Linked DNA regions of Schizosaccharomyces pombe. The gene in region 3 interacts genetically with the main gene of each other region. Each region holds a gene or a part of one and is shown on either strand. Other genes may lie near its edges.

Region 1 (3,964 bases), on a different chromosome or scaffold from region 3:
ACTGGGGGAGATGTTTACAGTATTCCGTTAGGTGGTAGTTTGCATAAGCAACCTTTAGCTATTGGAGGAAGTGGTTCTGCTTTTATTTATGGATTTTGCGATGCTAACTTTCGCGAAAATATGACCCAAGAGGAGGCTGTTGAATTTTTAAAGAACGCTGTTGCTTTAGCCATGGAACGCGATGGCAGCAGTGGTGGTACCATTCGAATGGTCATTTTAAATAAAGATGGAATGGAGCGTAAATTTTTTGCCATTGATACTGCTAACCCTATTCCCGTATTTACTCACTAAGTACTTCACGTTTCCTTTTATTTTACGTGACTATACTGATACCCAATGCTTATGCTAGACTTGACCTTATTAATGCCTGTCTCATTATTTGTAGCTTTTGGAGTGCAAGGTCATGAAGAAAAGTTACTTTTCTGGTCAGTGAGATAAGTCTTTGTGATGATTAAAATAGAAAGATTTTTTATAGTTACAGTTAACTACCGAAGTGTAGTTATATTGTTGATAGTGAAAGAATATTATTGTTATGAGTCCTATGTAATTGTCATAAGAGTAAAAATGTTGTAAGATGCCTGCAAGCACATTTAAAATTTTGATTATCAGCTTCATACAAGAAAATTGTAATCAGCCATGTAAAATATAAAATTAGTCCGAACACCGGTAGACCCTTCTAAAGAAGAATAAAATATGATGTGTCTTTTTTTGTTTAAAATTGAATGCAGAAATTATGTGAAAAGAACAAACTTTAACGGTAAGAATATACACGGTGAGATATGTATTAAGCTCTTCAACAGGTACACCGTAGTTACAGGTCAAGGAATGGAAGTGGGACAAAAAAATAATGAAGCATGAAAACATTAAAGATAAACGCCCCCCTTCATTTTTTATTCTACAACATAGTCATGAAAAGCCAGCAACTCTCCGAACGCTTTATGCCACTCGGCAGTCAAAATTTGGGGAAACTCCGTGTTGTCATATTCCCAAAATTTACCATGAGCAGCACGAAGATAGGGTAAGTCCTCTTCGGTGACCCAAACTCCATTATATGAAAAATCGAGCCTCGTCCAGGGAAACCAACCATATTTATTATAAGCAAGATTTAATAAACTTTGTTCCATCATTCTAGCATCGTCATACATATAAGGATAACGTGCTATCTTCTTAATCCTATGCATATGAAGACTACTGGGATGAACAAGCATCAGCCCGGCATTAAAAGTTTCAGATTCTTCTGGGGGCGTCGCATGTCCAGGGTTACGATCGTCACATGCGCCAAGAAGATATGGATAGAATTCTGAGCGAGGAGCACCATAGGCATCGAAATTGTCGCTAAACTGATAATCCTCTTCATCATCTGGCTTCTTAAAGATAGGAAAGCTAAACATATCGGGTTCTGCAGGAGATTCATAAACATAGGGAGTATCAAAAATGTCATCCATGTTTTTCAATACTAGGAGATCGCTATCCAGAATGCAGACCTTATCAAACTGTGTTTGCTCAAATACACTGAGTTTTGTGAACATGTATTGATAACGATAACTGCCCATGCCAATAGACAAACCACTTTCAATTAAGTCTTCAGTTTTAATTTGATCGACCATAATTATTTCGGCCCCATCAAGTCGCAATCGTTCAATTTTCCATTCATCAACCCCTTTCATAACAAGGACATGAACGGGATATTTACTTTTCGTTTCAGGATGATGTTTCAGCTTGTATACTAGTACTCGAGTAGCATTGAAGTATACATCATGTTCTGAAGTAGGAAGGGTAAGTAAGCCCATAAATGTATACCTTTTTAAATCATCTACATTATCGTTATAATATGGGCCATGCTTATGAAGCCCAAATTCATAGGCTGCCGATGAAATTAGCGATCCAGGAAATGCGGGATCCCGATATATTTGGATCCCTAAAAGTAAACCCAAATTCAGCAAAAGAATTAGTGAAATCAAGACAAATTTTGAGCGAAGTAGAAGCCTGGTATGTAAGCGTAACCGCTTAAAGAAATTCATATTCTATAAAGCAAATTTTATCGCTTTCCGCAACTTCGTTTATAGCTATAAAATCCCCACCAGAATAATAAAAACCCTAGGATTATAACTGACTATATCTCGTTAAGACTTGCTAGGTTTAATACAATAAATATAATGTAGTTTGTATTATTGAGTTTGGTAGTGGCTGACTACAATTTAGGAGACTAAAGGTACGATGTAATGCGTACGAAGTATAGTTTTTCATGTAAAATTTTAAGATTATTTGAGTTTACAGTACTTGTTATTTGACATTAAAAGGTTTAAAAAATTTATCAATTACTTGCTATTGATATTTTCTATCCCATCTTCACTCTATCTAAAACCAAGCCTTCTTTGATATATATATTTAAAACAACTTTTAAATAGATTTGCTACCTAAAACATTTTCAAATGTCTTATTGAAATCTAAAAATGAAAAACATGCTAAGGATACGTATGCTCACTAATTAGCAATTTTTATATAAATCCGTTGGTTTTCCTTTGGTCAAAGAAAAAGCATTTATAACATGTTTGCTTACAATTTTAAAATTGATGATAGGACTAACACTTGATTCTTTACACTAATTAGGAATTTTTTAAGAAGGAGCAAAATTTCTTGAAACCATTGAACTTTCAGTGAGTTTTAAACATACGTGATCTAATTTGCATACAGAGAGGAAGCTATTTTTTTGATTATGGTTTACCTGTATCCAGAATCCCATCGATCGTGTATATGAATTTGAATAGTATAGTGGTTTTAAAAAAGGACGGAGGAAACACAAATTATTTTAGAATGACTGTAAAAATGAGATAGCCTTTCAACAGTACGTGTTGTCAGCAATACATTAAATGAAAATAACTGCTTCTTAAAAGTCAAAAGCCGCCTTATTTTTTACTTGATCACGACATGAAAATTGCTTTCATCTGTTTAATATAAATCAGCATTACGTTGTTGGTCATGATACGTTTGCATTTCTTGAAACGCATCCCACCATAGCTTGGATGTGTCTTCATCATAACCTAGACTTCCTTCTGGTTGCCAATGTTTTCCATGAACTGCTTTTAGATATGGTAAGTCATTTTTTCTAGCCCAAAGTCCGTTAAAAGTCCAATCAAGTGACTCCCATGGAAAAGCACCTGCTGAATTGTATGCAAAATTTAGCAAACTTTGCTCCATCATGTTTGCATTATCATACAATTTTGGAAACCTTGCTAATGCCATTAACCTTTTATAATGTGCCTTCAATGGCTTAAAGACGAATAGACCAGCATTAAAATAATCTTTAAAAGGAGGAGGAGTTTCATGCCACATACCTGGATCGGACACAGCAGCGAAAACGTAGGGATAAAGATCGTCTCTTGTCAGCCCGTAAGCTGCAAACTCTTCTGTAAAGCGTCTCCAAAAAATGCTGCGCCTAGGCTTGTAGAATAGGGTGGGAGGAAACAGAACAGAATCCTTACTATAGGAGAGTTGGTGAACATCAAAAACTTTGTCCATTTTTTTAATAGGCAAAATATCACTATCAAGAAAACATATTCTATCATATTCGTACATTTCGAAAACTCTCAACTTGGTAAACATCATACTCCATCGGGAATCCAGTAGGGCAATGTCATTGACATCGTCAACCACTTCATGAGCATATAGTGGATCGACTACTTTAACAATAGCTCCGTCTTCCTGCAATTGATCAAGCTTCCACTGATCAATTCCCTTCATGGCTAGCACTACAACGGGATACTTGCTTTTCGTAGGTTTAAATTTGACAAGTCGGTGAACGAGAAGCCTAGTTGAATTATAATACCAATCCTGTTGCGTATTTTCTACTTCGTTTTCCCCATTAGCGGCGCGTACAGTAAGCATAGTTACAAATGCCATCTTAGAAGAGGGCGCCAACCCTGTCAGTGTGTAAACTGACCTTTGTATTTCTGGACTATGATTG
Region 2 (3,921 bases), on a different chromosome or scaffold from region 3:
ATTCAGCAAAAGAATTAGTGAAATCAAGACAAATTTTGAGCGAAGTAGAAGCCTGGTATGTAAGCGTAACCGCTTAAAGAAATTCATATTCTATAAAGCAAATTTTATCGCTTTCCGCAACTTCGTTTATAGCTATAAAATCCCCACCAGAATAATAAAAACCCTAGGATTATAACTGACTATATCTCGTTAAGACTTGCTAGGTTTAATACAATAAATATAATGTAGTTTGTATTATTGAGTTTGGTAGTGGCTGACTACAATTTAGGAGACTAAAGGTACGATGTAATGCGTACGAAGTATAGTTTTTCATGTAAAATTTTAAGATTATTTGAGTTTACAGTACTTGTTATTTGACATTAAAAGGTTTAAAAAATTTATCAATTACTTGCTATTGATATTTTCTATCCCATCTTCACTCTATCTAAAACCAAGCCTTCTTTGATATATATATTTAAAACAACTTTTAAATAGATTTGCTACCTAAAACATTTTCAAATGTCTTATTGAAATCTAAAAATGAAAAACATGCTAAGGATACGTATGCTCACTAATTAGCAATTTTTATATAAATCCGTTGGTTTTCCTTTGGTCAAAGAAAAAGCATTTATAACATGTTTGCTTACAATTTTAAAATTGATGATAGGACTAACACTTGATTCTTTACACTAATTAGGAATTTTTTAAGAAGGAGCAAAATTTCTTGAAACCATTGAACTTTCAGTGAGTTTTAAACATACGTGATCTAATTTGCATACAGAGAGGAAGCTATTTTTTTGATTATGGTTTACCTGTATCCAGAATCCCATCGATCGTGTATATGAATTTGAATAGTATAGTGGTTTTAAAAAAGGACGGAGGAAACACAAATTATTTTAGAATGACTGTAAAAATGAGATAGCCTTTCAACAGTACGTGTTGTCAGCAATACATTAAATGAAAATAACTGCTTCTTAAAAGTCAAAAGCCGCCTTATTTTTTACTTGATCACGACATGAAAATTGCTTTCATCTGTTTAATATAAATCAGCATTACGTTGTTGGTCATGATACGTTTGCATTTCTTGAAACGCATCCCACCATAGCTTGGATGTGTCTTCATCATAACCTAGACTTCCTTCTGGTTGCCAATGTTTTCCATGAACTGCTTTTAGATATGGTAAGTCATTTTTTCTAGCCCAAAGTCCGTTAAAAGTCCAATCAAGTGACTCCCATGGAAAAGCACCTGCTGAATTGTATGCAAAATTTAGCAAACTTTGCTCCATCATGTTTGCATTATCATACAATTTTGGAAACCTTGCTAATGCCATTAACCTTTTATAATGTGCCTTCAATGGCTTAAAGACGAATAGACCAGCATTAAAATAATCTTTAAAAGGAGGAGGAGTTTCATGCCACATACCTGGATCGGACACAGCAGCGAAAACGTAGGGATAAAGATCGTCTCTTGTCAGCCCGTAAGCTGCAAACTCTTCTGTAAAGCGTCTCCAAAAAATGCTGCGCCTAGGCTTGTAGAATAGGGTGGGAGGAAACAGAACAGAATCCTTACTATAGGAGAGTTGGTGAACATCAAAAACTTTGTCCATTTTTTTAATAGGCAAAATATCACTATCAAGAAAACATATTCTATCATATTCGTACATTTCGAAAACTCTCAACTTGGTAAACATCATACTCCATCGGGAATCCAGTAGGGCAATGTCATTGACATCGTCAACCACTTCATGAGCATATAGTGGATCGACTACTTTAACAATAGCTCCGTCTTCCTGCAATTGATCAAGCTTCCACTGATCAATTCCCTTCATGGCTAGCACTACAACGGGATACTTGCTTTTCGTAGGTTTAAATTTGACAAGTCGGTGAACGAGAAGCCTAGTTGAATTATAATACCAATCCTGTTGCGTATTTTCTACTTCGTTTTCCCCATTAGCGGCGCGTACAGTAAGCATAGTTACAAATGCCATCTTAGAAGAGGGCGCCAACCCTGTCAGTGTGTAAACTGACCTTTGTATTTCTGGACTATGATTGTATAGCAAAACACATTGCCAACCTAATAAAATAATGCTCAAGGTAATCAGTAAACACAGTCCTAGTCGTTTGGGATGGCGAAAAGCACTAAAATATAAACGCATTTTAATGGCAATTGATTGCCAAATTATAAAATGGTGGTGCTTTCGGAGAGAATTACTCTACATACTCCCTTAATGTTTGTTGGTGCATCATACACATTTTGCTTACTTTCAATACCAAAACAAACTCAACACCCTGAAAAACAAATAACATAATTAAATCGACTTTATAACGTAAAAACATCAAATGTTTAAAAATTAAACAAGCTTACTATTTTAACTATAAGAAATGTTAAGATACATGACTCTGACTTAAAATTTTCTCTTATTTAATAAGACGTTTAACCTAAACCAATTATAGTATAATACTAAATAGTTACCGACAAGCTAAGCTACTCAAACTATGTCGAAATGGGTGAATGACGAGATAAAGACAGTTGCTTCCACTGAGGGTTAACAGCCAGTGTGAAAAAAGGATAAAATAACGGTGACTTGAAAAAAGGGCTATCGAACAACTGTTAGAAATTGTCCGGATTTTTTAGGTTATAACAATTGCTTAGGGAAGCAAATTAAGACGGGAAGCAATATCCACTTGAGTACGTAAGGTATTTGCGAGATAAACTACAACCAAAACATCTTGAAGATGTGATGAAAAAATTTTTTCAAAATCTTGGCCTTCTACGCAAGGAATTAAACTAAAGCACTTCATCAAATATCTACCGACAGCAACATTAGCAGGCGAAGAACCATCAATTACGTTTTGCACATAATCGGAAACTCTTTCAATCATAGATAAAAGCTCCAAGGTTGATCTTCGAAGTTGCTGGAGATCTGTGAATAGGCTAGCAAGTCTAGATGGGTCATTCTTAGGAGCAGCTACAGCTTTCAAACCAGAACGGACTGCCTCGTCATCACGAATGGTAAAAGGGGTAGGGACGAATGCACAGCTGTCAGCAAGGCGCTCTGTAATACCTACTGGTGAAGAAACGTAAGTCTTGATGGCAAGGGGACTGCTAACATCTGTGTTGACAGTAAGGTGAACACAGGGATGAGGATACGTTCCTAGTGGAGCAGTTCCGGGTTCAGCAGGAGAAGCATATAAATTTTGAATCAGTGCACTGAAAGCATCTAAATCAGGAGAAGTAGCATACCAACCAACGACAACTTCACGAGGGTTAGCCTTGAGGTGTAAATGGTACATCGCACGATGATATTCCATTTCAACTTCTACCTGCTCACTGCTCTCATTATGAGGAACTGCAAAACAACTTTTAATCTCAATTTCTCGGCCATCTTCAGAACGTGTTCCCAAAAGTGTACCGATAACACGTTGATTATTTTCACTTTTCCGGGTTGAATGGTCAAGGATAGAAAAAAGCACTGCTGGTTCAATGACAATGTTCAAAGGACTTGACCTGGAAGACGGTTTTGTGAGATGGAGTACGTGCTTAGTCCCCAAAGCCATTTTTTAAAATTTTCACGTTGTTGGCTACTCTCAGGTAGGTAGATCTGGTATTGTTCCCCAATCAATAATAATTTTACTGTACTAGTTTACAGTCTCATAGAATTCGTTAAATTGAAGACACTATTTTTCGCCTAACTTCTAAGGTTTACCATTTAAGAAAGTGTATTTTCAGTTGCGTTGAATAATCTAAAAAATCTCCTTAACAATGTCTCATTTGTACGTACAATAATGAGAAACTCTTTATTCAAAATTCTATAACTATTTACATTTGTACATTCTCTGGTTAAAAATCATTTATATATATATACAATGTTCAAAAAATTCGGTTAGCAAAAAAGTGTAAACATAAAACCCAAAAAAGCAGTTTGCTTTTTCTTGACTAATA
Region 3 (4,929 bases):
TCCTCGGATTACTTTTAAGATTAAGACAGGCGTGTTGTGACCCTGTGCTTCTTTCCAATATGACCATTAACAGTGAAACGTTTGATGATTTTGAGTTTTCGGTTGAGCAATTTAATTCTTTAATTAATCAATTTGTTGTCACTGGAAAGCCCATTCCTTCAGATATTTTAAAAATTGATACACTGAAGTCTTTTGAAGCATTGATAACGGAATGTCCCATATGTTGTAATGAACCAATTCAAAATCCCTTGTTATTGAACTGCAAGCATGCTTGTTGCGGAGATTGTTTGTCAGAACATATTCAGTATCAAAAAAGAAGAAACATAATTCCTCCGCTTTGTCATACATGTCGTCAACCCTTCAATGAGCAAGATGTCTATAAACCTTTTTTTGTCAAAAATAACGGAACACAGTCTACGCTTTTAGTCGGTGAGGAAGTAAAATGGAAATATTGGAATAGGCTACAATCAGTGAAACTTAATGGCCTTTTAGGACAATTGCGTCAATTAACTCATAGTTCTGAACCTGAAAAGGTCGTTATCTTTTCACAGTTTACCACATTCCTGGATATTATCGCAGACGTTCTCGAGTCAGAGAAGATGGGGTATGCTAGATTCGATGGTACCATGTCACAACAAATGAGGTCGACGGCTTTAGAGACATTTCGAAATGATCCTGATGTTAACGTGCTGATTATCTCTTTAAAGGCAGGCGGGGTTGGTTTAAACCTTACTTGTGCCAACCATGTTTTTATTATGGATCCATGGTGGAGCTGGTCAGTGGAAGCACAGGCCATCGATCGTATTCATCGTTTAGGACAGGAAAAGCCTGTATTTGTGACGAGATATATTGTACGTGATACTGTTGAGGAAAGGATGCTCAAAATACAAGAACGCAAAAATTTTATTACTGGGACCCTGGGCATGTCGGAAGGAAAGCAGCAGGTTCAGTCAATTGAAGACATCAAAATGTTGTTTGAATATTAACAACGGTTTCACCAAGCCGATTAAAAGCTATCGTAAAAAAAAAGTATTTTCATATTATGCATATGAAATGCAATTGCTACCGTGGTCGTTGTCATGACTGTCAAATTCTAAGAGAGTATGTGATAAACAAACTGCGTTACAAGATAAATTATAAACTATCTACACCCCTTGGATTTGTTGATTCACGTCTATCACTAATGAATGCGAAATAGTCGAATTCGGTGCATAAGTAACAAAAGTATTAAGGAACGACAGTTTACCCTGGAGCTATACAATCTAAAGTAGTGAATGTGTAATACTTTATTCCATTTTTTGAACTCATAAATTTCCTTGGATGACTTACTTTTTTGTATTCATGATGTTGTTGCTGAGTATCATGGGCAAGGGAATATAAGTTTTAGCTGCTGCAGTGTAAAGGCTGGCTAATGTTTTGTTCAGTATATTAGAGATAGGTATAATTGTTAACTTTTATTCGATTTTTTTATTATTGTTAACCTTGTTAAATAGTAGTAGCGATTGTGATGGAAATCCGGTCACAGAAAGAAAGCGATGTGTATAATTCAACTATATTGGTCAGCCTCTCTCTTTGTTGAAAAGTCGAAGTAGTTGTTTAATAAGGTCAAGATATTTTGATGAAATCAGTGACACAAAATTAAATCCGAATATTTTAGCTAAGTTTTCATTCCATAAATTTCATTTTTCTAATAGCTACCCGTAGAAAGTTTTATAAGCAAGTAACGTGCCGGTTGCTGGGTTATAAAAATTTAGGCAAGGTTACGGTTGTCTCTACCATCGGCAAAGGAGCCGACGTTAATAAAATATTTAACAAAGCCTTTAAAAAATTAACGATAGCTAGTCAAAGGAAGCTTAACGCGTATTCAGCCTCATTAAGACAATCAGGAAGCTTTTTTTTACCATCAGCATATACCTCTAACCCTTTGATTTATTTTTATATCTCGAGATTTCGTTCGTTATTTTATAGGTCGTTTCGATAAGACCTTAATACAATCTGATTTAGTGGTTGTTTAAGATTTCGGAAAAGCCTTTTTTTCAAAAAAAGTTTTCCAGTTATTGTTTCATTATTTCTAATTGATTTACTGAAGAATTGTTATAACCTAAAGATGGCACTTATGTTATCCAGGATTCCACGTCGTTTTTTTTTCTTATTTTTAACGGTCGGCTTGATTGCTGGCGCGTTTCTATACTCGTTGATATATTTTGTGGACGTTGATTTGGTGTCGAAGGTTAACCAGTTGTATGATCAGCAAATTGCACCCATGCTCTCCGATGCTATTGGCACTCCATCCGTTAATCACTCGTTTGAGTTGGCGCCGTTAGACTCTCATTTGGTGGCCACAAGCACTACATTCCACGAGGCGTCATACGAGTCAGAGCCTCAGCAAAATCCTGCCAGTCAAAATATTGTCTTATTACTAGTTAGTGATGGACACACTTCTTACAATAATGGAGCTAATACGTTTGAAGAAGCTATACAGAACAGAGTTGACTATAGTACCAAACAAAACTACAACTTTGAGTATGTCAATGTTACTGGCCTCCCTATTCCCGCCGTTTGGTCCAAGATGCCCGCCGTCTTACAAACTATGAAGAAATACCCCAAAGCGGAATGGATCTGGTTGTTGGATCAGGATGCAATTATTACTAATACCCATCTTTCCCTTCAAGACTCCTTTTTGAAACCTGAGAACTTGCAAAAGACCTTAATTACTAATACCATCCTCACTAAACGGCCTATAAATGCTAACGGGGATTTGCGTTATACACCAAGTAATTATAGTTTAAAAGATATCGAAAATCTCATGGTCATAATCTCACAGGATCACAATGGATTAAACGCAGGTAGTATCTTGTTCCGTAATTCACCTGCTACTGCCTTGTTTTTGGATATTTGGACAGATCCTGTTGTTGCAGAATGTGCGAAAGCCAATAATGAACAAGACATGCTTGGATATTTGATTTCTAAGCATTCACAACTTGCTTCGCTGGTTGGCCTTATTCCTCAAAGAAAAATAAATGCTTTTCACGAAGGTCCGGAAAATATGGAATGGCAAAAAGGTGATTTGGTAATTCACTTTGCTGGATGTTGGGTTGAAAACCGCTGCGATGAACTATGGCAAAAGTTTTACGCCTTGATTGACTAAGTTGCTTATTCATTATATCCGTCTGTTTAATTTGTTTGTGTTTTAAAAAATTTTATATATATAAACAAAGCGCCGTATAATTTTCCGTCAATCTTCCTTTCTTTATCTGAATCTCTAATAATGTTTACTATTTTTTAATCTTTACATACCTAATTAATATAGCGGTTGTGCCATAGCAATCAAAGTTTCAGGTTAGTTTTTTATAGCGAGATATCTGGGAGTTTTGTTTTACACAATCGTCCATCAATAATTGTTATATATTGTATATATTTCACATTGACTTTGAAGCTGTTTCTGTTGGTTCAACTAATTTGCTTTGGCAATTTACCAATGCAATATTGAAGATTGGAATAACAGTTTGGCGTTAATAAATCTTTTTAATAATTTGCATTTCACCGCAGCTGCCATTTTCTGTTAAATGCTGATAGAAGTTTTATTGAATCATTCGTGTCGGATTATACTAAGTTTTTATTTATCTTGTTTTTTGGCCCTACAAAGTATTGGTATGTCCTTATTTTATATTGATTACACTGGCTTTTGGCCTTATAAAGATATAGATTAGTTGCTAAGTCTAAAAGATGTATTTTTTAACGGTGGTTCCATTACGTCTGTGCACCCACTGTTTACACTTGTGTCTTTACAAACCTAGAAGCATTTTCCGATTAATGAGGTCTATCAGGTCAAGGAGAAAGAATATTTGAATAGATTTATCGACAAAATATATTTCGTTAAATTTACACAATATTTACTTTACCAATAAGCTAAATGGTATTTCCAATACTTTTCCAGCTAACAGTCAGATTTTTCACTGTTTGAAACAACTTCACCAAATTAATTCATTAGTGTCAATTTCTATTACATGCTTAAGCTCATAATTTTCAACATCCAGATAGCTCGAAAGTTGACACCATTACACACAAACTAAGATGATTGTGAAAAAACAAAGCGTTAGGATTTGTAAAAGGCAATTCCACAATTTGAATTACAATACTGTAACTGAATATAGCGCGGCACATGGTACAAACAACGTGCTGGTAATAAATTGACAAATGCAGAGCAACCCGCGTGATGAAACATAAATCTCGGATATTTTTTCTTTAAAGGGTTGTTAACGCAAGTCGTTTAAGGGTAAAAGAAATAAATAAATTTTAGAGGGTAACATCCTCATAAAGGGAGTCATCTTTAGAGCCTTTTTTCATTTTTTTAAGGCTTTCGAAAATTTCACGTGTCTCAAATTCTATTGTTTCAGCGGTTCGTTGAATTAATCTCTTATCATGTCTCGAATTTCACTTTCAAATTTTTTATCTCTTCCGCGTTACAAATTCCTGTTGTTTTCTGTGGTTTTGATTATTGTGATGACAACCTTAGTGTTTAACGGACACGATTATAAGCAAACCCTTAATGACCGGCTTACTTCATTAAAAAACAACTTTGTTGAGGAAAATGATAATGCCGTCTTAAAAGAAGAGCCTGGCAAATATACGTATATGAGTTTGTTTACTATGCCTTCTACTGAAGAGGATTACTACTTCAACGCTACTAGGGTTTTAATTCACCGATTGAAATATCATCCTACTACCAAAAGTAAATACCCTATCCATATCCTTGCACTCCGTGGAGTAGATGAGTGGAAAATTGAACGTTTTCGAAAGGATGGTGCTTCTGTGATTGTTATAGACCCCATTGCTTCATCGGATATTGTATACGATACATCCTCATTTAGTCAAGAAATATCTGCTAGATATGAACAAATGTTTTCGAAGTTGCGAATTTTCGAACAA

Evidence for each region.
Region 1: mutations in gmh2 (region 3) and otg3 impair growth when combined (synthetic growth defect), as found in Schizosaccharomyces pombe (one study listed by BioGRID).
Region 2: mutations in gmh2 (region 3) and otg2 impair growth when combined (synthetic growth defect), as found in Schizosaccharomyces pombe (one study listed by BioGRID).

The regions. Positions count from the first base shown.
Region 1 is NC_003423.3:3,118,337-3,122,300, forward strand, and holds otg3 (alpha-1,3-galactosyltransferase Otg3), read right to left. Parts: upstream 2,190-3,964; 5' UTR 2,022-2,189; coding exon 891-2,021; 3' UTR 501-890; downstream 1-500. Other genes in the region: proteasome core particle subunit beta 1 Pre3, read left to right, coding at 1-291; alpha-1,3-galactosyltransferase Otg2, read right to left, coding at 2,950-3,964.
Region 2 is NC_003423.3:3,120,271-3,124,191, forward strand, and holds otg2 (alpha-1,3-galactosyltransferase Otg2), read right to left. Parts: upstream 2,179-3,921; 5' UTR 2,135-2,178; coding exon 1,016-2,134; 3' UTR 501-1,015; downstream 1-500. Other genes in the region: alpha-1,3-galactosyltransferase Otg3, read right to left, coding at 1-87; tif306 (translation initiation factor eIF3f), read right to left, coding at 2,628-3,536.
Region 3 is NC_003424.3:167,029-171,957, reverse strand, and holds gmh2 (alpha-1,2-galactosyltransferase Gmh2), read left to right. Parts: upstream 1-1,902; 5' UTR 1,903-2,107; coding exon 2,108-3,148; 3' UTR 3,149-4,192; downstream 4,193-4,929. Other genes in the region: ATP-dependent chromatin remodeller/ubiquitin-protein ligase E3 Rad8, read left to right, coding at 1-986; alpha-1,3-galactosyltransferase Otg1, read left to right, coding at 4,423-4,929.